Caenorhabditis elegans: one gene and its partners. The protein of the gene in region 3 interacts with the protein of the main gene of each other region in a biochemical or structural test. Each region holds a gene or a part of one and is shown on either strand. Other genes may lie near its edges.

The links.
Region 1: the proteins of plk-1 (region 3) and npp-1 interact in a test that uses a peptide from one of them, tested with the Caenorhabditis elegans proteins (one study listed by BioGRID).
Region 2: the proteins of plk-1 (region 3) and npp-24 interact in a test that uses a peptide from one of them, tested with the Caenorhabditis elegans proteins (one study listed by BioGRID).
Region 4: of the proteins of plk-1 (region 3) and spat-1, one has a biochemical effect on the other in vitro, tested with the Caenorhabditis elegans proteins (one study listed by BioGRID).

The regions. Positions count from the first base shown.
Region 1 is NC_003282.8:9,856,154-9,863,647, forward strand, and holds npp-1 (Nucleoporin Nup54 alpha-helical domain-containing protein), read left to right. Parts: upstream 1-2,334; 5' UTR 2,335-2,338; coding exon 2,339-2,436; intron 2,437-2,484; coding exon 2,485-2,588; intron 2,589-2,668; coding exon 2,669-2,773; exon of another isoform or gene 2,774-3,218; coding exon of another isoform or gene 3,219-3,444; coding exon 3,445-3,714; intron 3,715-3,952; coding exon 3,953-4,134; intron 4,135-4,190; coding exon 4,191-4,370; intron 4,371-4,420; coding exon 4,421-4,814; intron 4,815-4,908; coding exon 4,909-5,087; intron 5,088-5,137; coding exon 5,138-5,335; intron 5,336-5,382; coding exon 5,383-5,592; 3' UTR 5,593-5,958; downstream 5,959-7,494. Other genes in the region: K07F5.12 (Transmembrane protein 144 homolog), read left to right, coding at 40-236, 1,013-1,284, 1,331-1,581, 1,625-1,833; K07F5.14 (NUC153 domain-containing protein), read left to right, coding at 6,071-6,295, 6,410-6,518, 6,571-7,064, 7,114-7,437.
Region 2 is NC_003280.10:5,504,092-5,510,574, forward strand, and holds npp-24 (Protein npp-24), read left to right. Parts: upstream 1-2,000; 5' UTR 2,001-2,074; intron 2,075-2,148; 5' UTR 2,149-2,150; coding exon 2,151-2,303; intron 2,304-2,350; coding exon 2,351-2,417; intron 2,418-2,459; coding exon 2,460-2,565; intron 2,566-2,615; coding exon 2,616-2,747; intron 2,748-2,800; coding exon 2,801-2,922; intron 2,923-2,968; coding exon 2,969-3,257; intron 3,258-3,305; coding exon 3,306-3,467; intron 3,468-3,747; coding exon 3,748-4,125; intron 4,126-4,172; coding exon 4,173-4,359; intron 4,360-4,412; coding exon 4,413-4,610; intron 4,611-4,658; coding exon 4,659-4,759; intron 4,760-4,811; coding exon 4,812-4,884; 3' UTR 4,885-4,942; downstream 4,943-6,483. Other genes in the region: cyp-44A1 (putative cytochrome P450 CYP44), read left to right, coding at 1-118, 179-298, 344-458, 506-577, 621-845, 890-1,033, 1,084-1,186, 1,234-1,487 and 1 more; Deoxynucleoside triphosphate triphosphohydrolase sahd-1, read right to left, coding at 5,146-5,376, 5,423-5,548, 5,597-5,863, 5,920-6,052, 6,098-6,483.
Region 3 is NC_003281.10:8,099,836-8,106,015, forward strand, and holds plk-1 (Serine/threonine-protein kinase plk-1), read left to right. Parts: upstream 1-1,512; coding exon 1,513-1,758; intron 1,759-1,805; coding exon 1,806-2,405; intron 2,406-2,648; coding exon 2,649-2,975; intron 2,976-3,021; coding exon 3,022-3,468; intron 3,469-3,517; coding exon 3,518-3,631; intron 3,632-3,679; coding exon 3,680-3,892; 3' UTR 3,893-4,234; downstream 4,235-6,180. Other genes in the region: K06H7.1 (uncharacterized protein), read left to right, coding at 1-24, 70-276, 323-463, 506-615, 659-803. UniProt on the Caenorhabditis elegans protein: Required for oocyte nuclear envelope breakdown before entry of oocyte into spermatheca. In meiotic cells, required for spindle dynamics and probably for spindle attachment to the chromosomes. Zygotic role in the development of the germline and nerve cord.
Region 4 is NC_003280.10:14,526,105-14,535,300, forward strand, and holds spat-1 (Protein aurora borealis), read left to right. Parts: upstream 1-2,647; 5' UTR 2,648-2,671; coding exon 2,672-2,762; intron 2,763-2,823; coding exon 2,824-2,921; intron 2,922-2,965; coding exon 2,966-3,021; intron 3,022-3,076; coding exon 3,077-3,206; intron 3,207-3,252; coding exon 3,253-3,371; intron 3,372-4,086; coding exon 4,087-4,365; intron 4,366-5,037; coding exon 5,038-5,353; intron 5,354-6,063; coding exon 6,064-6,292; intron 6,293-7,011; coding exon 7,012-7,337; 3' UTR 7,338-8,070; downstream 8,071-9,196. Other genes in the region: F57C2.5 (Strictosidine synthase conserved region domain-containing protein), read right to left, coding at 228-463, 681-734, 914-1,327, 1,591-2,021, 2,076-2,116; C04H5.1 (Multifunctional methyltransferase subunit TRM112-like protein), read left to right, coding at 8,196-8,339, 8,778-9,011.

The DNA of each region.
Region 1 (7,494 bases), on a different chromosome or scaffold from region 3:
TTTTGGATTATAGAAACTTTTTTAAGTCGAAATTTTCAGGATTTTTTGTCCAGTGGATTGAATGTGGAGTTGTATTCATTGTCGGTTGCATCTTCTACGCAGCACGTGGATTTCCAAAATTCGAGCCAATTGCGTGTATTGGAGGATTTCTTTATGCAACTGGAAATGTATTCAGTGTGCCAATTGTTGAAGGAATTGGGATGGGAGTTGGATTCTTGATTTGGACTAGTCTTCAGGTTTTTATTTCATTTTATAACTTGTCGCAGGGGCTGGAACTTTTGAAAACCAAAAAAAAGTGTTGGAACAAAAAATATCGGAGGAAAAATTATGAAAACCGCCATAGACGTAGAATTCAACCCACGATAGAATTTTTCTGCGACAGAATTACAGTTGATTTCAAGAAAACCAAAAAATGTTGAAAAAAAAGAGACCCGAAGAACTCGGGGGATGTCCAACTGGGGGGATTACCAACTCGGGGGATTGGCCCCGCCCACAGAACCGTGGCTTGCAATACGCCCATTTTTGCAACTGAATTTTTGCAACTAAAATTATTTTTTCTTGTTAATTCTCGCTCTATTGAGAAAAATACAGTTTTAAAACCGTGCGGCAGTTGCAGAAATGGGCGTATTGCAAGCCACGGTTCTGTGGGCGGGGCCAATCCCCCGAGTTGGTAATCCCCCCAGTTGGACATCCCACGAGTTCTTCGGGTCTCAAAAAAAAGGTTTTTCAAAATAATTTTAATCTAAAATTATTTCTTGAATACTTATTTGTGGCATGAATTTCAATTGAATACTATCAGAGGTTTTGGAAATGTGATACAATTTTTTTGGTTTTCAAAATTTCCAGCAATTGCGCCCATACCGTCTACCTCGTTATTTTCGGAATTTTGGCGGGAAGACGCAGATTGCCTCAAAATGCAGGCAGGCGTTTTGTGTCTACGCGGAAAGCTTACTCTGAAACATACTGAAACTACTACTACTACTCTGAAACTACTCTGAAACTCTTCTTTAAGATTATTGTCGGATGGGGAGTGGCAAGATTCGGGCTGTTCCAATGGATTGCCCCGCAGAATGTGAAAAATGATGTGTTGAACTATATTGGAATTGCATTGACAATCGTGAGTGGAGTTCTTTTGATATTCGTGAAACACGTGGAAACGGAGCCAGAAAATGAATATGATGTGACCAGCAAGGAAATGGAACATCAAGAAGAGATTGAGCAAAGACTCAGCAATTCAGAAAGAGATTCTTCATTTGATATGGCTGGTTTGGCAAAGAAATTACCGTTCGTTGGGCATGCTTAGAAATTTAAAAAAAAAACGAATTTTCAGTTATATCCTTATGGCAATGGTTCTTGCGTGTCTACATGGTTTGATGATGTCACCGATTGAATATTTGAAGCAACAGAATCCACCAACTGATAGTTTCCAAGTGTTTGACTATATTTTCCCATTCTACACATCAGTATTCCTCTTCTCTACACTGTATTTCTTCGCGTATTGTGTAATTTTGCGTCGAAAAGCCTACGTGGAAAGGAATTTGATAATTCCATCGATTGGGTACGGTATTTTATGGACTACAGGTAAGAGATGCGTGGTCGATTGTTCAAATGTTTAGTTCTTCAGGAATGACACTTTGGTTTGTCTCCAGTGATAAATTATCTCAAGTTGTTGCCTATCCATGTACCGCCCGTCTTCCACCGTTAATTAGTGGAGCTCTTGATGTATTTGTATTCAAGAGTATTCAAGGAACCCGATCATATGCTACGTTGGCAATTTCTTCTGTTATTGGTGTCATTTCGGTGATTATGATTGCTTTGTCTAATCAGATTTAATTAGAACAGAACCGAACGATTTATTGATCTCATCTCAAAATGTTGTATTATATTTGAAATAAAGTATTATTCGTATCGTTTAAACGATCGTTTGGTTTAAAAAAAAAATTTTTCAACAAAACAACTGGAAATCTAAAGAAGTTACTATTGATATCTTTTATATCGAAATTCAATTTAAGAATTCTTGATTAAAATGAGTTATCAAATTTTCGCAAAATACGAAGTAACTGAATACCTGAAACATGCATTTCTTTTCACGGTTGAATGTTCTTCGGAATATGTATTCTTTCATCTTCGAGGAGGGTGCCAGCAAACGCGCCCCTTCGTACACAGACAAAATTCGAAAAAATTTGCACGCCAAAGCGTCCCCAAAAATCGATTTAATTCGGCTCATTGTCTTATTTATATTATTATTTTCATTCTAGAATTCTCGCATTAACTACATATGTGTTCTTTTTCTTCTCACAAGCCCCATTTCTCTTAAAAATCGTTTGTTTTCAGCGAAATGTCACTTTTCGGGTCATCTACTCCCCAAAAACAGGCATTTACGTTTCCAACGCCGAATGCTCCAACAACATCGTCTGGAACTTTGTTTGGAAGCACGTTAGTATTTTAAGAAGTATTATTTTTATACAAAAATATTATTTTCAGAACGCCATCAAAGCCTCTGTTCGGTTCAACTGCTCAGGCTTCATCAACGCCTTCGCTTTTTGGAACAACAAATACCTCTACTCCTTCTGGAGGATTGTTTGGAAGTAAGTTTGATATTTTTACTTTTACACAACTTACTTCGTAATCAAAGTTGCATTTTAAACCGAAATATATTAAATTTCAGAGACAGGCACTTCAACTACTACCACTTCAACTGCTGGAACTTTGTTTGGTGCTGCTCCAACCACTTCAACAGCTACTCCAAGTCTTTTCGGTGCTTCTACAACCGGTAAGCTACTCAAAATTATCGATATTTTCGGTCACTTCTACTTAGTTTATACTATTAGCTGTTGTGTGGTCTCGTTGAGAGAAAAGCTAGACAATGATAAGGAGGGGAAATCGATAAATCATATTGATCGAAGTAATACATTTTGGACCAAAAAATTATATTCTAAATTCCAGCAACAAATGAATGAAAAAAGAAAATAGACTCAATATATTTTTTGATCTGACAAATTATTTGACCTACCAAGGTTCTACTTCTGTGATTTGCGCTTAATTTTTATTCAAAATTGTTATTTCTCTCCTATCGCTCTACTTCTCTCGTCGTCATTGTGTTCGTTACCTTCACTTTTCTCTGTCGTGGTCGGTGTCGTGCGGATTTCTTTGCCTGTTCTTCTATCACCCGTGTTGCTCTTTGCTACTCGTTTTCTTCGTCTCGAGCGTCTGCAGAAATGTTTGCCCGACGTGGGGGCATCACCGGAATCAAAGCAGAAGACATGCCGAAGAATCTTCCAAATCTTCCCGATTTACCTACGACATCAGCATCTCAAGCTCCAGCCCCAGCAACCCAGAATGTTAGTTCACCAGCCCGTCGCAATTTGTTTGGAGCACCCAATGACGCTAACCGCACGCTTTTCACAAATTCTCCGGCATCTGGAACCACTTCTGGAACTTCAGGACTCTTCGGAACATCATCAACGACATCTGGAGGTCTCGGCGGTATTGGATCCACACAACAAACTGCCAAATCACCCGTTGCCACAAGATTGGCAGCATTCAAATCAGGAACTTTGGGGGCTGGTAGTCTTTCTGGTAATACTCCAACATCTTTTGCCACACCATCTGCGTTACCAGGAACTAATGCCCCACAGTCATCTTTTCTATCACCGGCAAACAACTTGAATGTGGCTCCAGCAGCTTATCGTCCTCCCTACTCAACATTTGGAGGTTGGTATTCATCAACTTTGTATTAGCTTTTCATATTTCTAGAATTGAGTAGACTTGGTGGGTCAGATCAAAAACCGAATAAAAAAAAAAAAAACTAAACCTAATATTAAATCTTAAAAATAATTAATTTAGATATGTCTAATTAGCTTTAAAACATTGCTTCAAGTATTTTATCGTGAATCTGGAATATAATTGTCTAATTAACGAACTTTGATAATTTTGATGGCTCAATTTTCAGGATCGACCCCATTCGGAGCAGCGTCGACTGGAACAGCCGCGGGATCAACGCTTTTTGGATCGAGTACTGCAAAGCCAGCTACAGGCGGATTTTTTGGTTCCAGCTCAGGGTCTACTCTTGGTGGTCTTGGAGCAACTCAACAACAACAACAGCCTGTTGTTCAGCAGCAACAAGTTATTCAGGTAATTAAATGAATCTTAAGAATATCTGAGCGCTTTTCCAAATAAAATTTTTTCAGCAGTATCACCCATTTGTGAAAGCTGTCGGAGATCCAAAGCTCTTTGGAAATGATAATGATGGAGTTGTTGCTAAGTTGAATCAAGTTGCTGCCGGTTTGGGTGTCGGAAAAGCTCCATACAAAGATGGAAATCAGCTTCTATCGTTTTCAATGGAAGGAAACTTGTTTGAACGATTTGTTGTAAGTTTATTTTATAAATCACTGAAAACTTGCACAGTGTCACGTTTCAGGGAATCGGATACAATCGTATTTCGGAGCGAACCGACGATGAGGGATTTGTAACTTTGGTGCTGCGTCATCCTATTACAAACTTGAACACAGAAGAACGCCGTGACAAAATTCTTGAAATTATCAAAGCTATTCTTGGTGGCGGACCAAATGTAGAAGTTCGATATGCTCCTGGTACTTCGATGAGAACACTTTCTGATGGATGCACAGAAATCTGTATTATCGCCAAAGAAGGCGGATTTGTTGCAGGAGCTATTAAACTTGCTCAAATCCTCAATGATGCTCCAAAAATGACCCAATTAGAATCGCAGTTGCAAGTGGATAAAACAAGGGTTCTTCCTAAAGTTGGAATGTCGAAAGCACAAAGAGATAGATATTTGGAGACAGTTCCTGATGGTTAGTTTACTCGTTATTTTTACTATGTTTATCATTTATTAACAAAGATTTTCGTTTTCCTCCCTCGCATTGTATCAAATTTCATTCATTTCAGGAATCGATGAGCGTATTTGGAGACAAGCAATCAAAGAAAACCCAGCTCCAAACAAACTTCTTCCTGTTCCAGTACGTGGATGGGAAGCATTAAGAGACAGACAGAAGGCTCAAGTTGGCGAGTCGAAACTATTCCACGAGGCAATTAATGCATTGGGAAATCGTGTTGAAGAAGCTAATGTAAGTTGTTATAACTTGATGAAAGTTTACAAATGTCATACATATTTCAGCATGAACATGCAGATGCAGTTGTTAAGATGGAGATTATTCGTAATCGCCATAAAACTCTCTCGTACAGAATTGTTCGTGTTATGCTTGCACAATGGATTGTATCAAGATATTCACGTCAAATTGACACTGATGAGGATGTAATTGAAGCTAAAGCTGATACACTTCTTGCCCAAATGAATCGTCATAATCAAGTGAAGGTGAGAAAAAATTATGATTTAATTTTGTATAAAACAATTAATTTCAGTTTTATGTCGACAAATTCTACGAGATTTTGGAATCAAAACCGGATAAACTTCAAGAATCAATGTGGAAAATGTTTGATATGACAATTGAAGATGAACACTATGCTCGTAGAGTGCTTACCAAATTTGTTAATATTTGCTCTGGCCTTTACGAGTCAACACATCAACAAATCGAAAGTCTTGAAGCTTGTAGAAGGGCTCTAGAAGGATAATTTATTTTTTAGAAAAGATTTTCTGAAAATCTTTTTTTCAGATTTTCTCGTATTAATTTAAAAATTCGCTCATTTCTTTTGTATCATCATTATTTTCTTTCAAACTCTGACAGGTTTCTGGTTATTTCTGTTTCGACCTAAGATGTGTGGCAGAAAATTGTTTTTAAAACTTATACATATTGAGCAAAAAAGCTCGCTTTTTTCTATGTTCGCCTGTCATCACGAGTACATTTTTTCATAAAATATGCCTCATTCTTGGTTGTAACTGTTGATCTGACCTCCTCAAATTGTTAATTGTCTTATTTCACACACTGTTTAATAGATTGAATTAATTCATCTCAAACTTCTATCTAGAATAAATTTGATCTCCATTTTTCTGTTTGAGTTTTGTCAAATAACGGTTGTCTCCCGTTCGAATTTCTGCGATTTTCAAATAATTAGAATCACATAAAAACTATTGCAAAATGTATCTCAGAAAATGGACGATGAAGACAATGATGAAAAGAGACGTCAACGTTCAGATGAAGCTCGTCGAGCCGCGATGAGGCAAAAAATTCAAGATCAGAGAGAAAGAGATCGTCAAATTGCTGCTGACATTGCTAATGTTGACAAAAAAACGACAAAACGCATTGTATTTGAAGATTCGGATGATGGGGATGATCAGGATGAAGAAACAGAAAAAACAGCCGCGAATGGTGAAAAGGTTGGAAGTTTTTCAATTTTTTGAGATAAAAATCTCTTATAACAGCAATTGCCCGATTTCATAAAGTTGTTTGCTGTAAAGACAATACTCGTAAACTAAGTTGGAATAATTCAGAAAACCTCGCGCAGTTCAAAACGTCCAAAACTCTTCGATTCTGAAGATGAAAACGATAAAGATGAGGAGGAAGATTTTGAAATCAAAAATAGACACTCTGGTCCTAAAGGTATTGTCTAAAATTAAAATAAATTAAACCAAAACTATTTTTCAATTTTTAGGCGAAAAGCTGATGCACCTAGAATCACGTTTCAATAGTGATCCCCGATTCAAATTGGACGACAAGTTTGCAGAAAGTGATTCTGATGAAGATGGAAATATGGAGCAGAGCTCGGAAAAGCAAGAAATGAAATTAGAAAAAGATAAAAATCGAGAACTTTTGTCTAAAATTCTAGGAAAAAGTGTCGAAGAGAAAAAACCAAATACTATAGAGTCTTCAACACTTAAAGCTCGACCATTCACTCGTTTCGATCCTGAAAATCCTGAGCATTTGGAATGGATGAAAGCTTTTGAAGCTTCGAAAAATCCACAAAAAGTCAAGAAAACTGAAGAAAGTACAAATTCGGACGAAGATGGGAATGGAAGTGACGAAGGAGACGAAGATTCAACTGAAAAGAAAAAGGAAGAAGTCGTTGAAAAAGACGAGGAAAGCGGTGATGAGAGCTTTGAGAAAGCTGAAATCTTTTTCAAAATGGATGACGCGTTTTCAGCTGAAGTGAGTTTTCAACAAAAAAAAACATTTTTCACACAAAAATTATTTTCAGATGAAAGAACGAAAAGATGGTGATGATCCGTCAACTGGAGGTTTCTCTTTTTTATCAATGATTGGAAGAAAATATGATGACGAAGCAGTTGAAGATGATGGAGAAAATTTAAAGAAAATAGAACCAACACAAAGTAAAGCCGAACCGTCTGGAAATGTTGACAAAATCGAAAAATCTCTACTCAAAGTGAAAGTTAGCACAAAGTTTTTCGTCGATCCTCTGTCGGATGAAAAAATCAAAAGTTTAGCGGCTAATTTCAGAAGAACTCAAACAGTGGAGAAAGTTATTGATAAATGGGCACCTCATCGAGATGCTATTTTCAAGGTGAGTAGTTTTTTTTTTGAGCCTGACCGACTATTGAGCTCTGTTTTATTATTTCAA
Region 2 (6,483 bases), on a different chromosome or scaffold from region 3:
CCATATTCTCCAACTTCTTCGCCCAACACTCCACCACGGACATTCTCCGAAATTCCTGGTCCTCGAGAGATTCCAGTCATCGGGAACATTGGGTATTTCAAATATGCAGTGAAATCTGGTGAGTTTTCAGTAATTTTATTGAATATTTTTTATCTTATATATATATTTTTTTTTTTAGATGCGAAAACGATCGAAAACTATAATCAGCACTTAGAAGAGATGTACAAAAAATATGGAAAAATTGTGAAAGAAAATCTTGGCTTCGGAAGAAAATACGTTGTTCATATATTTGATCCTGGTAGTTGAGTTATTCGATTTTCTAATTCAAATATACAATTTTCAGCTGATGTTCAAACTGTGTTGGCCGCGGACGGAAAAACTCCATTTATTGTTCCACTTCAAGAAACAACACAAAAATATCGAGAAATGAAAGGAATGAATCCCGGTCTTGGAAATCTGTAAGAATAAACATTCGAATATTGATATCAGGATAATTTTATTACAGAAATGGTCCTGAATGGTATCGTCTGCGATCTTCAGTTCAACACGCAATGATGAGACCACAATCGGTTCAAACGTTTGCACAGTTTTATGATCTCAAAACCAAATTCTCATTTCAGATATCTTCCATTTTCTCAAATTGTGTCAAATGATTTGGTTTGTCACGTGGCAGATCAACAGAAAAGATTTGGACTTGTAGATATGCAAAAAGTCGCCGGAAGATGGTCACTCGAATCTGCTGGTCAAATACTTTTTGAAAAATCTCTTGGATCTCTAGGAAATCGATCGGAATGGGCCGACGGACTTATTGAGCTGAATAAAAAGATTTTTCAATTATCTGCCAAGTTAGGTTAAAGCAAACTTATGCATAATTGAATTAGATTTTTAGAATGAGACTCGGTCTTCCGATATTCCGTCTGTTCTCAACACCTTCTTGGCGGAAAATGGTAGATCTGGAGGATCAGTTTTATTCAGAAGTCGATCGCCTGATGGATGATGCTCTGGACAAACTGAAAGTCAACGATTCTGATAGGTTTGCACTTTAAGACTGGGAAAAGTTTTTACATATTCAATATACTCTAGCAAAGATATGAGGTTTGCAAGCTATTTGATCAACAGGAAAGAATTGAATAGACGAGATGTGAAAGTAATATTGCTGTCAATGTTTTCAGATGGTCTGAGCACGGTAAGCTGACTGTAACTTATTAAAATAATAAAAAAAACATTTTTTAGACTGCACCGATGCTAATATACAACCTATATAATCTCGCAACACATCCTGAAGCACTAAAAGAAATTCAAAAAGAAATAAAAGAAGATCCAGCATCTTCCAAGCTTACATTCCTCCGTGCTTGTATCAAGGAAACGTTCCGAATGTTTCCAATTGGGACTGAAGTTTCAAGAGTCACCCAGAAAAATTTAATACTGTCCGGATATGAAGTACCTGCTGGGACAGCTGTTGACATCAATACAAATGTTCTAATGAGGTATGCAATTTTAAAAATCTGATCACAATTAATGCTACATTTTAGACACGAAGTTCTGTTCTCTGATTCTCCCCGCGAATTCAAGCCTCAACGATGGCTTGAAAAATCGAAAGAAGTTCATCCGTTTGCTTATCTTCCGTTCGGATTCGGGCCACGGATGTGCGCTGGTCGACGATTCGCCGAGCAGGATCTACTAACATCACTTGCCAAGCTGTGTGGAAATTATGATATTCGTCACAGAGGAGATCCAATAACTCAGATCTATGAAACTCTTCTTCTACCACGTGGCGATTGTACCTTTGAATTTAAAAAATTGTAATTTTTCCATTTTAGATCAAAATATTAAAATTTTTCTTGTATTTTTACTATTCTTCTGTATGATAAATTAAGCTCGATATTATTCTTGTTTCTTGCTTCCCCAGTTGGGCAAATGATTTACTTTTGTTCAAAGATTTATTTCTAAAAAAAAGTGAAATTGTAATTAGGTTCATGCGCTCCATCGACACTCGACAGAGAGACGGTGGAGACGCAGAAATTACCAGACGGAGAAGTAAATTTTCGAATTGAATTAGTTTTTCTCTTTTAAAGTGGGTTTCCTTCATTTTTATATTTTTATTAACGAAGTATATTAATTGAAATTTCATAAATAATATATTTTCAGCCATGCTCATCACCCATCTCATCGATTCTCTCAGCGACAGAGCTGTTATCACTCCCTTAACTCCAACGAGTGTCATTATTTACGATAAAAATGAATTAAAAGTTTATGTCGGATTCACAAACAATCGTAATAGCTTAGAATACACAAAGGAAGTGGTTAGTAGTCGTGAATTATAATTTTTTGGTATAAAACGTGCTTTCAGGTTCTTCTCCTGTCGACAGAGATTCCAAAGAAAGCGGAAATTCGTGAAATTATTGTTTCTAAAAATGGTTTGTAATTAAAAAATCTATGAAAATAATAAAATTTTTAAGGCGACTATGTGATTCTGGAAGGTCCGAGAAGTTTATTCGTTGTGAGAATTGGCGCTGAGATTTTAGTGGCAAAACCTGATCGTTTGCCATCTGAATGCTTTTGCGAGTGAGAATATAAAACATTTGATATAGTAATAATATAAATTCAATTTCCAGATGCTACCCTCTCCACGACAGTCTTCTTCTTCAGAATATTTCGCTCTCGGTCGTTAAAGTTCGCCTTTTACCTGAGAAATGTGACGAAAAGACTTTCGTGACCGCAGTTCTCTTCTCGGATAACTGTATTAGGTTTTTCTCGAGATTCTCGCTGATAATATTTTTTCTAAAATTTTAATTTTCAGATTCTACAATCTCCAGAAAAAGTTCGATTCTCTGCTTTTAGCGGTTGATTTTCGAAATCATCTTCACCAAGTACACGATGAAAATGTGGCAAATAACACATTTGGACTTCAGAAGGCATTAGGTTTGTGTAATTGAGAAAAGTGCTCAATAATCTATCAAATTTACAGTTTCCTTCGATTTGATTCCTCCAAAACCGAATACTTCGCATTTTTCAATAATTTCCATTGATTCCGACTGTGATTTCTACACTTCATTCGTCCATTTTTCATGTTTTAAAGAAGGTTATGCTCCTCGTATTCATCGTATTGAACCTGTCGACGGACTCCCATGTGATCCACTGGATCTTCGATACATTCAAACTACAAATCCTCGAATCTGTTCGGTTTTCGTATTGGTGTCTGGTGGTGGAGTTCTTAGTCATCTAGTCGTTTTTCCAAATGAGTTCGGAGAATTTCGGTTAGTTTTATTTTTCGAAAAGTTTTTTTTTGAAACAATTTTTTTCAGATTTCTTGTGAAGGATCAACTTCGTCTCCCATCATCAAATGGCGATCCAAGAATAGTACAAAATCAAATCAGATCATTGAAAGTCAGCAGATATGAAATTGCAACATCTTCTAGTCTTTTCTCAGTCAACATCTTCCCCTGGTTTGAAGCTTTGACTTCTATGTACGTTTTTTTACAAACGGCTGTGCGCCTTTAAAAAGTACCGTAGTTTTAAACGTTCGTTGCTTCACCGATTTCGCATAGTTTCTGATTAAAGGTTTATTTATTTGCTTAAAAAACTAAAATAAATCAATCAAAAACACATAAACTTCGACAACTTGAAGAAAATTCTACGTCAACGAAAGTTTGAAACTGCTGTAATCATTAAAGGGACACAGCCATTTGTAGTCGTGTCAAGACCGGGTACCGTATATTTAGATCAGATTAAACAATTTTTTTAAAGCTCGCCAACATCTACTCTTGAAAAGGAGACTCGAGTTTCCGAGCTTGTCGATGCAGTTATTCCATCTGATGAACTTTCGAACACTACTAAATGGACTGGAGCTCGTGCGCTTCGTGCTGTTTCAGTGCAACTGACACAGAGCCTGGCAACAGAGGAAGAAGAATTGCTCCCCGAATCTGAGAATATCATGCATTTGGTGATTCTTGAAAACAAAGATGGTCAACCTGCTCATTTATTCAACATCTCCACATTTGATAATATATGGTCAACTGAAAATAAGACATCTTTTGGAAGAGATTCGGTGTCCCAGCCACCTATGAAAAGTACGGGCTCTTTGGAGCAGCAACTTGCTGCTTTGAAACCACTTGCAGCTTGCGTGTAAGTTCAAATTATTCAAGTTTTTATTCTTAATTGTACTAATTTAGAATCTCCGAAAAAGTATCATGCGAAGAGGCAATTGATGCCGCTATGAAGTTTTTCGATGCAGTTGATGAAAGATTGAAGAAGCATTGTGAAATCTCAAAGTTATTCGTGGAGAGATGTCTCGCAGTCTCTTCAAGTGCTCAAGCTCTTGATGAAAAGCAACAAAGTGTGGATCAACGACTGATTGAGGTAAATAAAACTTTTTTTTGCATATTGTTGATTTATAAATACATTCTTTTCAGGAAACAAACACTGTCGAAGAATTGAAAATTCGAATGCACGAAACAAAAGAAAGAATGGAAGGTGCGCGAAAAGGAATCAATGTGCTATTCCACCGGGTTGACGAAAATGTCCCATTAAGTGACAATGAAATTCGAATTTTCGAGCGTCTCAAGGAACACCAGAAAATGCTCTCGGATATGACAAAACTAGTTCCGAAGGTGACCAGTATCTTCAAATTATACACAACAATAAAACTATTTTTACAGATGACATTAGATTCGAATGAGATCCACCGAATGGCCAATATAGTGCTGAAAAAACGTGGAACAGGCGAAGAGCAGAACAGATTTGCAGCTGTTGAGAAAAAGTGAGATTTAAATTCAAATGGCAATGTTTCAAAAATATCTAAACATTTGCAGTGCTACCGAAATCGAAAGCTTGGAAGCTCGCGAGAACAAACTGAATACCGGAATTTCTGAGCTTTCTATCTGAAAGTTAATCTTATTGTAATGTTTTGATATTATTGTTGTTGAATGAATCACTGTTTCCATTCCTTTCTTTATTAAAAAAAAACAGCAAATAGAAAGGCAAAATTGCATACAGAAAATGCGAAAACTTCTAACCGTTTCTTCTTTGTAAGAAGCTAAGATGTGGTACCAATACAGAAAAATCATTGGGTGAATGTTGAGCAGGAGGAGGCAGTAAAATGTATAATTTGATGTGTATATGTAAAGTACATTTAAAATATGATTATTATGAGCTACCAAATTCGAGACGACGTTTGGCAGTGGAGCAGCTCGATGAAACTTCATCAGGAGAATCTTGCGGAGATCTTTTTCGTGGGGTCAAAAACTTTTCAGACTCCCCAGCAAGTTGAAGTGCACGCTTCACGCGATCCGCTAACAGTGGCTCTTTCCTCAAACTACGATCTCCCATCACGAAGATTTCCCATTTTGTGGCCATGCGAGGGCAATTGTTGATAACCTGAAAAATTTCTAAATGAAACAGACAAGAAATTTGATAAGCATACATAATCTTCAGATGGATAGAATCCGACAACTTGTTTCCCTTCATGCTCACTCGGTTTTCCATCGTAGAAAATCTGACGTTCGATTGGATGAGTTTTATCGTCCAAACCTCTACCAAGGACGGAATGCTGAAAATTATATAATTTTGCTCAGCACCAGGACGGAAATAATCTTACCATTACAGTGAACTGAATATCCTTCAGTTTTCCATCCATTTCTTCAGTATCATCCATTTGCTCCAAAATTTCTTTCATCTTTTGTCCAACTTTTTTGACAACTTCTGCAGCTCCAGTCTGATTGTTGCAATTCCCCTTCAACTGCGTCGCATTTTCTGGATTCATTTCAAAATAACCAAGCTTGCAACCGATTTCTCGTCGCTGGATTTTCAATAGAGCTGTCTGAGCTTCAATCATTTTTGGATCCGTGATCTGGGAGTTGAGAATCTGAAATTAAAAAAAAAAACTAGTTTTGATGTTGTTTAGTTATCTTCTCGCAATACCTCCTGCTCTACATAATCCGTAGTTTTCAAGAAAGCATCAACGTCTTCTGTGACATTCTTCAGTGAGTATAGTTCTCCATTTGATCCCTTATACTTCAGGAAGTCACCTGCATTGATCAGAGCATCCACCATTCTAAAATATGAATATTTCTTGTTGTAAAATAAAATCAGGCTTTACAGTGTTTCCATGAATCTAACGGCTTTATGTTGATAAACTTTCGAATGAAGTTCTTGTCGTGAATCGCCGATTGCTTTCAAGTCTCCGATGCATTTGATAGAGTAGGCGATTCTCTTCAATCCACTATTCGGATCAATTACTACACGGACATGATTGAATAAACGTTCGAGTGTTGATTCACTGAATGTAATACCAACTCCCGATGCTTTTGAATCTCTGAGCAAATAATCCATTTTGTCGACATCATGTCCGTTATAAGAATTGGAGACAACGTCGAATAGAAATGATTTTTCTGGTCCACAGCCAATGATAGCCCATTCATTTTTGACTGTTTCCTCACGCACGTCAGCAGGCAAATCTTTAAATCCGTCCATATCTTGGAAATC
Region 3 (6,180 bases):
CTTGACGAGCTTTTTATAGACTTGGTAGTTAAAAAATTAATCTGAATTCCGCGTATTTTGATATTTCAGAAAGCAAGCAAATGTATTTGTAGTTCGAATGAGCTTTTGAACATTCCAAAAATCATCGTTAGAAGGCTTTTTCTAAAAATGGAATCTCTGGAAATGTTGGAGTGGTGGATTGAAAGAGTTGATCCGAACTCTCTAAATGAGCTGTGTATTGCTCCTCATGGAGAATATCCACTTGATATTCCGTCCAAGATATTTGATCTTCCACATGTAAGTATGTTTATTTTTGAATATTTTTGGTACAATACATTTTCAGTTCCAAAATTGCAAAACACTGAGTATTATGGAGCACTGTTCTTTCTCAACCGACCAATTTCTAGCATTGTGTATTGCAATTCCAAATTTTTCTTTTTATTCGGACAGAATTGATGAAAATATAGTTGCTCATGCGATAAAGGTATTGAAAATCATCATGGAATGAAGAATTGTTATTTTTCAGAAACGTCTCAGCTTAAATGATCAATTTGTTGTCCTAGAATGGTTTTTCACTAAACACGTGAATGTTGAAAAAGTCACAGGAGATTTGAAGTGTACGAATTATGATAGAAAGTGAGCAGAAAACTGATGTTAGGCAAACTAGAATTAATTTCAGAGAGCGCTTTGATGTCAAAACTGAGTGCTTCGAGCCAGTTGATGTATACAGTGTTCCAGATGAGAATAACAAGAAAACGTCCTTGCTGGTTTTGAAAGATTCAACTGACAATTTCAAACCGTATAACATTGTTGCGTTTTCATAATTTTATGTTTTGAGATGCCGTCTTGGAAATATAGTGTTTTTGAAGCTAAATATCCTATCTCATGTATTAAATAAAATTGTTATAGTATCTCTTTCCATCCATTTTAATCGTCAAAGAAAGGCGTGTAAACCACGAAAACTTACCACTAATCCAAAAAGAGAAGCTGCCTTCTCTCCAAATGACGGTAAGACGTGGAAGACACGTGGTAAAAATGTATTACGTACGCCATAAAATATACGTATTAATCCATTTAAAATTAATTTTTCTTTTATTAACATCTGGCATCGTTTAACACACGTGCAAATGTTCTGTTACAAGCCCAAAAAGGTTCGTTGCTAATTTTTAAAACATTAATGTACAAAATTATTGCAGAAAGTACATTGAATAATAAATTTTTCAATTTTTAAAACCGTTTTTTAAATCAATGTCTCCGTGATATTTATGTTTGACCAGAAAATGTTTGATCGATGACAGCGCGCTGTTTTGTTTAGCACCCTTTTTCATCGGCGCGTAAATCGACACACGGTTCGCTGCGAGACCTGCGCCCGCCAAGCATCAACATTCGAATTTGCCGTCCGCCATTTTCGTCCTAAAATGACTTTTACCGATTCTTTTTCAAGTTTCCAGCTCGCCTCTTGTCATTTTTAGAAATAAAAACGTTTATTCAATTATTAATACTGAATATTTTAATTTTTGTGTTGCATTTCAGATGAATCGACTTCCCAACATTGCAAAACCCCCACAAAAGTCCAACCAAAGAAAGGAGAAGGCTCCACCAGAGGTTCCCGCTCTCATCGCCGACAAGGATCGTGGGACCTATTATGAGAAAGGACGATTTTTGGGCAAGGGAGGATTCGCTCACTGTTATGAGCTTACGAATCGAGCAACACGCGAGGTTGTCGCTGGAAAAGTGGTTCCGAAGTCGATGCTCGTCAAGCAATACCAGAGAGATAAGGTAGACAATGAACGAATCTTAGTTCAGTGCATATTACGATTTTTCAGATGACACAAGAGGTGCAGATTCATCGAGAGCTTGGACACATCAATATCGTGAAGTTATTCAACTTCTTCGAGGACAATCTCAACGTGTATATCACTTTGGAGTTATGTGCAAGACGGTCGCTGATGGAGTTGCACAAAAGAAGAAAGGCGGTCACCGAACCTGAAGCTCGTTATTTCACTCATCAAATTGTGGATGGCGTGCTGTATTTGCATGATCTGAACATCATTCATCGTGATATGAAGCTTGGAAATCTTTTCCTCAATGATGATCTAGTTGTCAAAATTGGAGATTTCGGATTAGCAACAACGGTCAACGGTGATGAGAGAAAGAAAACGTTGTGTGGAACGCCAAACTACATAGCTCCGGAGGTTTTGAACAAAGCTGGACACTCATTTGAAGTTGACATTTGGGCAGTTGGATGCATTCTGTACATTCTTCTTTTCGGACAACCACCATTCGAGTCTAAATCGCTTGAAGAGACATACTCACGCATTCGCCACAACAACTACACCATTCCGTCGATCGCAACACAACCAGCAGCAAGCCTAATCCGCAAGATGCTTGATCCTGAGCCAACACGTCGTCCGACTGCCAAGCAGGTAATTTCAATAGTTTTGAACTGGAGTGAAAATCATTTTAGTATTATCGGAGATTCGAGTTTCATCATTAGAAAATTTGTACTTTTGAATTTTATCGTGAACTTTTATTGAGAGATAGTTCACGTTCAGTTTGATTGCCCTTCGTTCTAATTAGTAAAGAGATCGAAAACAATTTTTAAAAAATCAGTTCGAATATTTAAATAAGTTATGAAATCTCTTCAACTCGGAATGAAAACCCTACAGGTTCAACGCGATGGCTTCTTCAAGTCAGGATTCATGCCGACTAGACTTCCAGTCTCCTGCCTCACTATGGTGCCAAAGTTCGGAGGACACGAAACTTCGATGATGGAGGAAAATGTTGCTCCAAGAGGGGTTGATGCTCGTTCACAACGCCCATTGAACGGAAGAGCTGGATTGTCTGCCCTCCCACAACACATCGTGTCGAACAATGCCGATCGTGAGCGTGCTCAACAACAAGCTGCAGAGGCGACTTTCCGGGAGCCCGAGGATGCATACCTTTCACAACTTTTCCACCAAGTTGCTGTGCTCTTAGAGCAGCGTATTCCAGGGGTAAGAATAAACAAGAGGTTTTTTTTAAATTAAAAGTTTGTTACAGCTGGAAGAAGAAGAAGCTGCTCTTGATGGTTATCAATCACCAGAGTGCCTCCCGGTTTTCTGGATTTCGAAATGGGTTGACTATTCGGACAAGTATGGCATCGGATATCAACTATGTGACAATTCCGTCGGAGTTCTCTTCAATGACAATTCTCGTATCATGCTTGATCAAGCTGGAAACGAGTTGACCTATATTGAGAAGAGCAACAAAGAGCACTACTTCTCGATGCACTCAGGTGAAATGCCTGGATTGCTCAACAAGAAAGTCACATTGCTTAAGTATTTTCGATCCTACATGAATGACCATTTGGTGAAAGCTGGAGAAGGATCTGAACAAAGAGCTGGTGATGACTTGGCTCGTTTACCAACGCTTCGAGTTTGGTTCAGAACCAAATCAGCAATTGTTTTGCACCTTTCCAATGGAACTGTTCAGATAAATTTCTTCAATGTAAGCAAATTCATAATTTAATGGAAACACCCAACAATATAATTTTCAGGATCATGTCAAGATGATGATGTGCCCATTAATGCAAGCAGTTACATTCATCGATCAAAACAAGCGTATGCTCACCTACAAGCTGAACAATCTTCAGCGCAATGGATGTCCAGAGGTTTGAATCGCCATTTCAGTATCAACAAATATAACGTATAATTTACAGAAATTCCTTCACCGACTGAAGTATGCGAAGACAATGATCGAAAGGTTGATGAGCGATGCTAACGTTGTATCCCAGAATCCAGCTCGTCAACCGGATATGCCACGGTCAATGGCAGCTGCTCGTTCAGCTTCGGCAGGATCACGAGGACCAAATCAAGCTGCATCGCACCTTCCCCAGTCGGCAAGTGGATCCAATATTCACCCACGTCGATAGATCCGTATGTGCTCTTTGCCACTTCCATGAATTTGCTTACATCTCCTGATTAATTCCAAGAAGTATTATTCTATACATTTAACCCGTACTCTTCATTTATTGTTGCTGTTTTTCATCGACCCTTTTAGTCCCATGTTTCAGCATCCAACATGTCTTTATTCCCCGTCCTCGATCTCCCGTAGCTCATTTCATTGTAAATACTGATGAGACCCGCTGTAGCCCTTTTTCATTCGTTTGTATTCATGGGCGAGGCGATTTTTATTTTGCGTTTTTATTTCTTTTTGCTAATTGAATCATCTTTTTTTGGTATTAGTCCCACGAAATAAAACGTACCGATGATTATTAAACTGTATTCTTCATTTTTCCAAACTTTCTCGACAATTTCATTTTTGGTAGATAGCAGCACATTGGGAAAAATCAAGTTGAGCTGCTCATCTGCCTCAACTTTCCATTTCAGAATTTTCGAAAAAGCGTGTATAATATTTACTGATTCCGAGACAATTATTTGAACATGATTGTTACAAAGATCACGGTCGCAAAGTAACAAATGTTCTGTTTAATTACTTGCCACTCTGAACAGTTTCCGTCACTTATTTTATATCCAAACAGGTTCGATTCCAAATAGTCTCAAATTATGCCAATGGGATCTGCTTTACTGTAACAGTTGGACATAAACTGTTATATGAAATCAAAAATACAATAGTTTAAATTGTTTTTGCTCTCTGCTTGAATTTTGGATTTCTAGAGATCTAGAGCAGAGCTGAGCAGCCGGCCAAAAAAATCGGCGATCGCCGATGAAATTTTTTTTTCGGCGATCGCCGATCACAAATTGCCAAAAAAAAATCGGCGATCGCCAATTGCCGATTGCCGATCAGTGTGCGTCTAATTTTTTTCAATTTTAAAATCCTAATTTTAAGAGCTCTTTCAAATAATTTTTTATAAAAACAGGAATATTAGGCAACGAAAAGCACTCCTTGATACCTTAAAATTCGAAAAGTAGTGAAAAATAGTCCGAAAATATACCTTCTTCCTTCTTCAGAGGGGTCTATCTTGGACTATAAAATTTCATCGGCAATCGCCGATCGCCGACCCGTTTTTCCCTTTCGGCGATCGGCGATCGCCGATTGCCGCTCACCCCTGATCTAGAGACCATCGATAGCGCATCATCGTCAGACCTGCCTCTTCACCTATGCGTAGGTAGACCTACGACCACCGTTTGATCAACCACAGATGCGTCTCGTCCACAGTAACTCGTTACTTTGTTATATTCTTTTTGATATAATATTTTCCCGTTTCCTCTCGCCCTTGTTTTGTTGGACCCAATGTCTATTTGTTTTGTTGGTCCCATCCCCTATAAAAGGCTTTCTTGGATGTTTTTCCCACGTTCTTATCTTTTTATCCCTGTTCCCTAAGCCCTTTCCCCTTGTCGTTGTTTCTTGTTGTTCCCCTCATAAATTAATTACTTATATAAGACAACTTTTACTAAGCAAACGCAAAGTTTAAAGATTTTTGCGCCAAAAATACAGTACCCGGTCTTGACACGACATTTTTGTTAAATACAAACGGAAGTGCGCCTTTAAAGAGTACTGTAATTTCTAGCCTTAGTTGCTGTGGGATTTTCTTCGATTCTTCGTGGTTTCTCTCACGATTTTTGTTTAAAAAAATCTAAATATGCGTTTTCAGTTGTTTTATTTTAGTTTTGTAATATATAAAATTTTTTAAATGAGAAAGAAAAAAAAAAAAATTTTTAAATGAGAAAATCGACGAAATTCCGCCGTAACATTCTACTGGTTGCATATGTAATCCTGAATAAAAAGTCAAACATTGAAAAAAAAAACAAGAAATAGGATTGAGAAGGATCTTGTCGATTCCTTTACAATCAGGTGTATAGTTTGATTCTCTCGATTTTCCACTAACATCTACAGTTTGAACTTTATCTTCAAATTCGAGGGGTTTCGGAATGAGGGAACTGAGGGGAACCGGTCTAATTGAGAGATTTCAGAGAATGTTGCATTTCATGTTGAATGACGCTTCTTCTTCTTCCCCTTTTTGAATGAATAACAACTGTTGTCCAAGAAAACGCCGACGGACGACGCAATTGATGGATCGAAGGAGGGTGAATCCGTGTCGCCGCGGAAGACGGTTTGCCATTAGAATTGTCTCCTCTTTTTCTCTCCTCATCATTTTCCATGCATCACCCCCAGCTTTTCGCAACAACGTCTATGTTACCCGTTTCAGATATGACAAGACATAGAGAAAGAGAGAGGAGGGTAAGGTTCTACAGACAG
Region 4 (9,196 bases), on a different chromosome or scaffold from region 3:
TTTAGTTTTTTCCGCTTTTGATAATGAAAAATCAGAGTTTCGAACTATTTTCCTGGAAAAATCGGTGGAATGTGCAGCATTTTGCGGCCATGTGGCAAAAATCCTGCAAAAAAGAAAATATTTATATTTTTAAAAGTGAAAAACTGGAATATGAAGAAGTATCACAAAGGCAAGGTGTCCGAAACTATTGATTTTCGTAAATTAAATTTTAATTTTCAATTAAAACTCTACAATTTAACTTTAGCAATATAATGATCCGCAAAGCTTCCTATATACAAATGCCCGTTGTGTTCGGTGACCTGGGACGCGTCGCCCACGTGTTTTCCGGTGACGTCATGCAGACTTCTGACGATTTTTCCGACGGAATCGAGCTCGATGATGATGGAATGCGGGTTTTTGAAGAGACCGAGAAGTGGTTTCCAGTAGGGTCCTGGCACGATGTCAACAAGGAATTGCCGGATTCCTGGAATTTTGATTTTTTTAAAAACTTTTTTTAAAACTAGGTAGCAATTTTAATTTCGGACGAAGCTTCAATTTTCTGGTGGAATTTTTAAAATTAGAAACTTTTTTACATGATGGTCTCGCCGAAATAATCGAAAAAATCAATAATTATGTAAACCTAATGATTAAACTGGGTCTCGTGACGATTTCTAATTTTTTTTGTAAAAAGAAATTTTTACCAGGAAGACTGCCGAGCCGGTCGAGAAGAGATGGATGAGTTGCTGAGCGAGTCGCTGAAAATTTGAAATTGTTAAAAATTTTTTATTTTTTTTAAATTTTAAACAATTTTAGGTGAATTAAACATCTTTTTAAGAAAAAAAATGTTTTGATTCGAAATTCAAATTTTCCGATTTTTCTTTCAAAATTTCGATTTTTTTAATTCTCGACTTTCGGCAGGCAGGTAGGAACGAACCTGTAAGTCCAACCCAATAAGTTCCACGGCCACTGCTACGAATATTATCCGGAAGGCCTGGCAAATTGGCCGCGAACATTTCCACTTTTTTCGATGCAATCGTCAATTTCTTGATTCTCGCCATACTACATTCCGCGAAAATCACAGATTTCTTATCCTCCGTTAATTGAATTCCATTGGGAAAATACAGCTTATCAGCCAACACTTTTACGCTTTTTGTCGAGATTTTCAGATGAAAAATGCGTCCGTCGGCTTGATGTTCGAGGATTGCAGCCATAAAATGCCGACGGTCGTGACGTGTTGAACTATCCGAAATGATAAGCTCATCCTCTGAAATTACGTCCAAATCGTTCAAAAATCGAGGTTTTAGACCATCGATTGGCACCTTTGAGTCCAGGATTTGTGTGGAGATTGCTGGAAAAATTGGAGAAGATTTTCTGTTTTTTCTAGAAAATTAAAAAATTTTTTGAACAACATAACCCAGTTTTTGCCATTTGGAATTCGAAAAAGTGGTAAATTTGCAAGAAAAAGAGATTTTCCATGAAAAATAGAAAAATTCAGGAAAAACTATTTTTGATAGCTAAATTTGAAGTAAAAAACAATATCCAGAAATTTCAACAACTGGAAATGTAAAATTCTTGGATTTGTTTGAGCGAAATTCCAGAAATTCCACATACGATTTTGCTCATCGGTAAAATCGACAATGTAGACTCCCAAATAAGCGTCACAAACGACGAATTTCGGTTTTCCAGCCACAAGTCGACGGATTCCAAGAGGCCGTCCACATTCGGGCTCCGTATCGAAATGCCCGCAGTCTGGGAAGAATTTCGACTTTTCCGAGTATGAAGCCTTGCTCACAACCCGGCCGTCAACGATTTTCAGCACTTTTGCATCATTAACAGACACATAAATCGCCTCATCATCTACCACCATAGATTCGGGTCCAACAATTTTTCCGTCAAGGATGTGCTCGGCCTTTTCCAGACCCGCATTTATAAATAGGTTGCCAACGAGTGCTGGCGGGGGATCAAATCGATATTTTCTCGCCGAAGTGTTCTTCTCGTCACTGTATCGGTAGTAGAGAGCTCCCCAGGAAAGCAGAAGTCCGCTGAAAATTTGAAAATTAGAAATAATTGTAAATTTTTTTAGAAAAAAAACCTACACAAAACCGAAGAAGAAAAACTTTCCCATCGTTTTGCACATAAACTGCGGTTCGATTACCCTGAAATGTTAGAGAATAGATAAGATGTTTATCGCATTTTTTCGGGGAACATAGATTAGAAAAATAAAAAATATTTGTGTGTTTTTTGAACACAAAATTTGGAGTTTCTTGAGGAGACCTCACAACTTTGTGTTTTGTAGACATGAACTCTTCGGGAAAACGTTTAATTTTATGACTATTCACGTTAAAAATAATTAAACTTTTACAGTTAGAACTCTGAAAAAACTAAAATTGCAAATATGCTAAAAATGTTGCAATTAAAAATGTATTTTCACAATAAGTGTATATAATTGTTCCGGTAATTATGATTTCTCAGGGTTATGTTAGGTGTGGTGGCTCAAACTACGGTGCGTGTTTGTGTGCAAACACCGCTGCGTACCATGTATTTTATTTTACGACAAGCAATTTTTTCTTCTTTTTTATATTTTCTAATGTGATTTTCTTTAAATTAAACGCTACTTTCCGTGATTTTATTTTATTTTTTCATTAATTATTAAAAAAAATAATTTTCCAGCTATTCGAGCACTAGAAACTAGATGGAATTCAATGTCTCGTCGTTTTGCGAAGGGGAAGAGTCTAGACAACTCAACAGCACCGCGTTAGAGCATGATGAGAATGGGCGAACCGGTAATATCGATTTTTTTAAAAATTTAATATAAAATATTTAAATTATATCTTAAACTTACAGCTGAATGGAAGGTGTCGCCAATCGCCGCAGAGCGTCCCAGCAAGATTTTTCCGAACAAAGCGAGAAGCGGGTTCAAAACTCCGCTAAGAAGCATTAATGTACGAATGAAAATTAGAAAAATCTCTAAAAACCTGATTTTCAGACTACTGACCCGTCAACTTCCGGATATGACTCTAAAAGTATCACACCACAGCAAAAGTGAGCTTTTTTAGGACTTTAAATTATATTCTAAGCCTAAAAATCCAATTTGCAGCGATCCCAAGCTCTCAATGTCTGCAGAACTTTCATCATTCATAGCCAACAACAGCCTAAACCCCTTGGACTCGATTCTTCTCAATTCCCTGCACAAATCCATCAACTTCAGCCCTCGCGTCGTTTTTTCTGTAATTATTTACGATTTTTAAGAGGAAATTCTTGTGTTTTTTCCAGCAAGAATCGTGTAGTCAGCAGAAAGACAGCGAAAAATTTCAATGGAGCATCGAACAGTTGGCCATTTTGAAGCCCGCGCATATTTCAGACGATGAAATTGCGGCGAGCTATCGATCACCGTAAGGAACGGGAAACAACTGAGCACTTTGTGCGAAGATTCTAGGAAATTGGCTGAATAATCCCGATTTTTTCCAATAAAATCAGTTTTTGTCCTGAAAAATGGAATTTTTTTTAGCAAAATTTCAAGCTTTTTAGATGAATATTTGATTTTTTTGACGCAAAAAAAAAACGCCAAAATTCTGAAATCTTCAGCTGATTTACATACCTTTTTGAATTAAAAAAATCTAATTTTCCGCCAGTTTCTAATACATTTTAATACTAAAACTCTGAAAAATCACAAGCTGTCGGCTATGTTTTGAATTTTTTTTCGAAAATCCAATTTCGGCCGGAAAAACGGGCCTTATTCTTATTTTTCGCTTGAAATTCATTTTCTACAGCAAAATTTTCGGTTTTTGGAGTCTGAAAATTAATTTTTACCCCAAAAAGTTAGTTTTTATTCAGTTGTCATAGAAAACGGCTAAAATTCCCAATTTTTTTTCAATTAAACAACCCTTTAAAAAATATTTTTCAACTTGAAATTTGGCTTTTTATGCCAAAAAATCCCATTTTCCAGCAGATTTTCATAATTTTTTAAAAATAAAAACCCTCGAAATTCTTTATTTTCAGGCAATTTTCTGCTTGAAAATTCAAATTTTCCTCCAAAAATTTGGCAAATAATCCGATATTAGCCTTTTTTTTCTAATATTTATCCAAATTTTTATATATTTTTTTCAGAATTCCCGAGGTGGAGGAGAAGATTCAGGAGGTGCTCAACGAGTATTGGACGAAAAATGTCAGTTATATTCCATCTCCAGACGGTCCCCGATACATAAATCTATCACATCGTGATGGTACAGTAACCACGTTCACTTATGGCGCCGAAGAGAATGCCACGTCATCATCGGCTCCAGGAGCAGCTGCTGGAACTCCTGCATCACTGGCGAATATTGTACGGAAAAAGGAGGCTGTGAAGGCCGCCTACGCCACGTCATCACCCAAACAAAGGCCTAGAAAGTATGGAAATTACCGGAAAATAACGGAAAATTCAAAAAAAAAAGGATTTGTTGAGAAAATCCTTTAAAGTTAAAAATTAAACATTTTTTGCGTATTTCTACTGAAGAAAACACATAAATTTTCATATGGAATGTAATTTTTCGGTCTGAAAAAAAAAAAAGTTTTTGTAGAATTTCCCCATATTTTGACGAAATTTTAAAGGAAAATATCTTTTTGTAAAAAAAAAAAACATTTTTGCATTTATAGCGGAAAAGTTTGAAAAAATTTGAAAAAAACTAATTTTTCATAATAAAATCAATTTTTCTTCGAAAAATCAGAAAAAAAAATCAAAGAATTTTAGTGCGCTATTTGAAATTTTTACTTTTTTCACTGTGATATTTCACTAAAATAGTTTAAAAAGCGTCAAAAATTGAACAATTTTTTTATTCCACTGGAAAAAATTGAACAAAAAAAAATTGCGAACAATTTTTTTGTGGAAGAAATTGCCAAAACTGGAAATTTTTAAATAAAATTATCAAAAACATGAAAATTTTGAAAAATGAATTTTTCACCAAAATTAAAAAAAAACAAATGTAGTGAAAAATGCACTACATTTGTGCCGAATTTGTTCAAAATGCGCGAAATTTTCCTGAAAAAAATTCAGAAGTTGAGCCCTATATCATTTCGAAAAAGTTTCAGGAACATTCGCCAAGTTCGAAATCGTCCAGCACAAACCGAGCTCACAATTCCCCCGAATTTGGATTTGGACCTGAAAAAGTTGCTCGGCGAGCAATTCGTCTATCAGCCAGACGAGGAGGACGAGGAGGACGACGAGGAAGTGTTCAATGTGTCGGTTTCATCGAATTTCTCCACGCGACGACGGTTATTCTCTGCTGGTGGAACGCCGGGAGCTCCGAGAGATGACGAGGATGAAGCTGATGACGTGGAAAATTCGTCGATGCTCTCTAACGATGATTTGATGCTAAATGAGACGAATGGACAACATTTTGTACGATTTTATAAACAATTTTCGATGGGAATTGCTGGAAAAAAATTTTTTTTTTAAATTGGAGAGAAAAATTAGTTTTAGACGCTATTTTTCTGAAAAAGCTTAAAAATTAAAATTTATCGAAAATAGCAATTAAAAAATAAAAAAACCTTTTTTTTGTGAAATTTGAGCAATTTTTGGTCAAAATTTAAATTTTTTTAGATTTAAAAAATAAATAAAAACTAATTACTGAAAATAAATATTCAAAAAAAAATCAAAATTCATTTGAAAACTCGGATTTCACATTTTTAAAGATTTTCGTATTCAAAATTTAATTCAAATTTTAGACGGGAATTGTCAACTTTTAGTTAAAAAAATTATAAAATTTTGGGAATTCGACAAAAAAAAACTATAATTTTCAAAATGCGCTTTTTAAAGAATTAGAGAAATTTTATAGACGCTTCTGCATATTTCAATTTTAGCTAAATTTTTTTTCCAAAAAGCTGATTTTTTTCTAAAAACTAGCTAAAAAATAAAACTGTAAATTTCAAGCGAATTTTGAAAAAATAAATCTAGTTTTGAGTTTTTCTGCATTTAATTAATTTTTTATTTACCAAATTTCTCTCTCAAAGTTGAGAAAGCAAACTTTTTCTCGAAATTTCACTCTAAAATGACAATCAAGAAATTTGGGGAAAAAACTAATTTTTGATTAAAAATTCGCAATTTTTCAGAACGACTCGCTCTCGCCAGTACGTAAAGACGTGACAGATGACATTGATGAACCGGAGACAAGTATGACAACTTCCGGTGCAACTGCATCACAAATTGCAATTAATATCTCGATTCTCAATGATTGTATGATGAACTCGATTGACGAAGAAGAAATTGATGGAAATGAGGAAGAAGGGAAAAATGAAGCTGTTCATCATCAGCACAATGTCTTCTCTCATTCTCATTTGGGTACGGTCGTTTTTGAGGAAAAATTGCGGATTTATTCATAAATATTATTTTTAAAATAATTTTAAATTCAGAAAATCCGTAAAAAATTTTCGGCAAGATTTTTATGCGGAAAATCTTTTTAACAAACGGGAAGAAAAACCGGAAAAATTACATTTTGATACTCAATGTTCCAGTCAAGATCCAATTTTTTGTTTTTCCCAAAAAAACCCTCCAAAAATGAATTTTCATTCAATTTCTCCTCATCTGGCACATTGCCAAGAGACTTTAGAATACTCCTCCTGCGTCTCTAAATCTCTCGTCATCAGCTGCTGCTTTTCTCACTTTTTCACCTCTTCATTCTTCATTCACAACACCCCTTTTTGCCTTTTCATTCGATTTTTCTAGATTTATTAAATTATATTTAAGAGTATTCTATAATTTGACAAGCAAAAAAGCAAATTTAATTTTAAAAAATTAGAGAAATGACTGGGAATTATTGAAGTTTGGAATTATATTTTTAAAAAAACCCCAGAAATTTGAAAAATATCCTTAATCTCTTCAAAAACATTTTTTTTAAATTAAAACTTTAAAAATTTAATTTTAAAAATTTTCAATCTCAAGGTTACTGTAAGGGTTACATAAAATGCGAACAAATTTTTTGCCAAATTTAAATTTTCCAATCTGAAAAAAATTTCCAATATTTTCCGAATTATCGTCTCAAAAATCTCAAATTCTTCCAGATGCCAACGAATACGAGATTCTCGACCGTTCTTCTTCATCCAACGCGACGCCACGTCACGAGGATCTCGACTGGACGCCACGTCGATTTCCGGGCTCGGCGAACAGCAACCCAATGCTCCGCGGGATTATCACTTCCGGAGGCAGTGGTGGTGGCGGTCCACAAGATTTTAGACGTTTTGTGTTCGACATGTCGCCGATTCATCCTAATCATAATGCTCCTGGAGCCATGAGAACTCCGTTACAACGGTGCCATCCAGTGAATTTGCCACGTGGCAGGCTGGATTTGAATGATGACGACGAGGAGGACGAGAATACAGAGAAATAGACGGAATTCGAAGAAAAAATCTCAATTTTTTAAGATTGAATATATGCCTCGTGCCACATGAATTTTTAAAAATTTCGAAAAAAAGATTCAAAAAATTGAAGAAACCTGTAAATTGTATTCGTACAGAAAAGCTGTTAAAATTTTAAAAAATGCGGCTGTTTTTTCGAATTTTTGCAGTTTTTTGACGGAAAAAAGTTTTCTGAAAAAATGATAATTTTAAAAATTTCACCCTTGAAATTTAAAAATTTCAGGTTTTTTTTAAATTTAGGTTTTTTCAGAAATTTTCCAAATTTTTTGGGCAAAAAAATCTAAAAATCAAATTTTCTGACTTTTTTTTCAATATCCACGTGGCACAATTTCTGTCTCATTTCCTGGTTTTTTCCCTAAAAAATTCAATTTCCATATAATTTTTAATTCCATCTGATCTTCATATTGCTTGTATCATTTTCTGTGATTTTTATGTTCTTTATGGCTTCAAAAAATGGTCCAAAAGACCTCAAAAAATCCTGTACTGATTCGTTCCATATTAATTGACATTTTCAATATCTAAAAGTTATATAGTTTTTCTCCTTCTTTCTGTTCTTTTGATCCAACTTTTTCGTGTCTTTTTCCTGTGTTTTCTGGTTTTGTCGACTGGTTTTTTGCCTAGTTTGGGGCTTTTTTACTACACTTTCCTGTTTTTCTTAACTTCCCTGATTCGAGCTATCAAATGAACACACTTTGTACCCATTTATTGAAATGTTTTCTTATTTTCCATATTTTTAATGTGTTTTTGAGCACTTTTATCATATTTATCGTCCTTTAATCCTTTTTTTAAGTTTCAAAATTTCCATAAAAACAATTTCCAATTTTTTGCAGATGAAGCTCTTTGTGCACAACTTCATGTCTTCCCGTTTTCTGAAAAACGTCACCGTTGGATATCCGCTTAATTTGGTTGTTAAGCAGTTTGTCGAGAAGGATATCGAATTCGATAGGGATAACACCATCGTCATGCTTGACAGGGTAATAATATCGGAAAATTTCTGAGAAAAATTGCAGAAAATCTAGGGAATTTAGTGAAAACATTGAAAATTTCCTCTCGAAAATTGGTTTTTTGTTGAAATTCGATTCATTTTCTATAAATTTATCAAAATTTCAAAAATTCTTCAAATTGCATTTTTTTCAGAATTCCAAGGAAAAAAATTAACTCAAAACTAAAAAAAAAATGAATTTTAAAATTGATTTTACCAAAAACGTTTCCTGAAATCTTAATTTTATCCCTTTTTTTTGTAAAATTTATAGTTTTTCTTCATTTTTCCTTGAAAAATTGAATTTAGAAAAAAAAATTGTTGAGTTTTTTTAGAAACTGAAAAATAACATTTTCACCAGTTTTGCGTAATTAAAATATCGGCATTACAAAGAAAAAAAATGAATATTCAAACAAACAATTCAATTTTCCAGATCCAATACGAAGCGCTCATCGTCGCCGCCGCCGCAGTCAATCAATCCGACCGGATTCCACGTGAAAAACCGGAAAAATGGGATGAGCTGACCGATGAGCAGCTCAGAGTGTTCCATCATTTGCTCATGAACATTGACGTCATCGACGGAGAACTCATCTGCCCGGAAACCAAGACGGTGTTTCCGATTCGTGATGGAATTCCGAATATGTTGAAGGTCGACGCCGAGAAGTAGATCATCATTTCGCCGTTTATCTTAATTCCTACTTTTGCTGAATTTATTTAATCTGGAAATTTTCTGGAGAAAAATGTCTGAAAAATTCGAAGTCGCCCTGAAAATTCAAGCTTTTTGAAAAAAATTGTTTTAAAAAAATCAAAAATTCTCCAAAATATGAAAAAATATGTTTTTCAAAAAAAGAC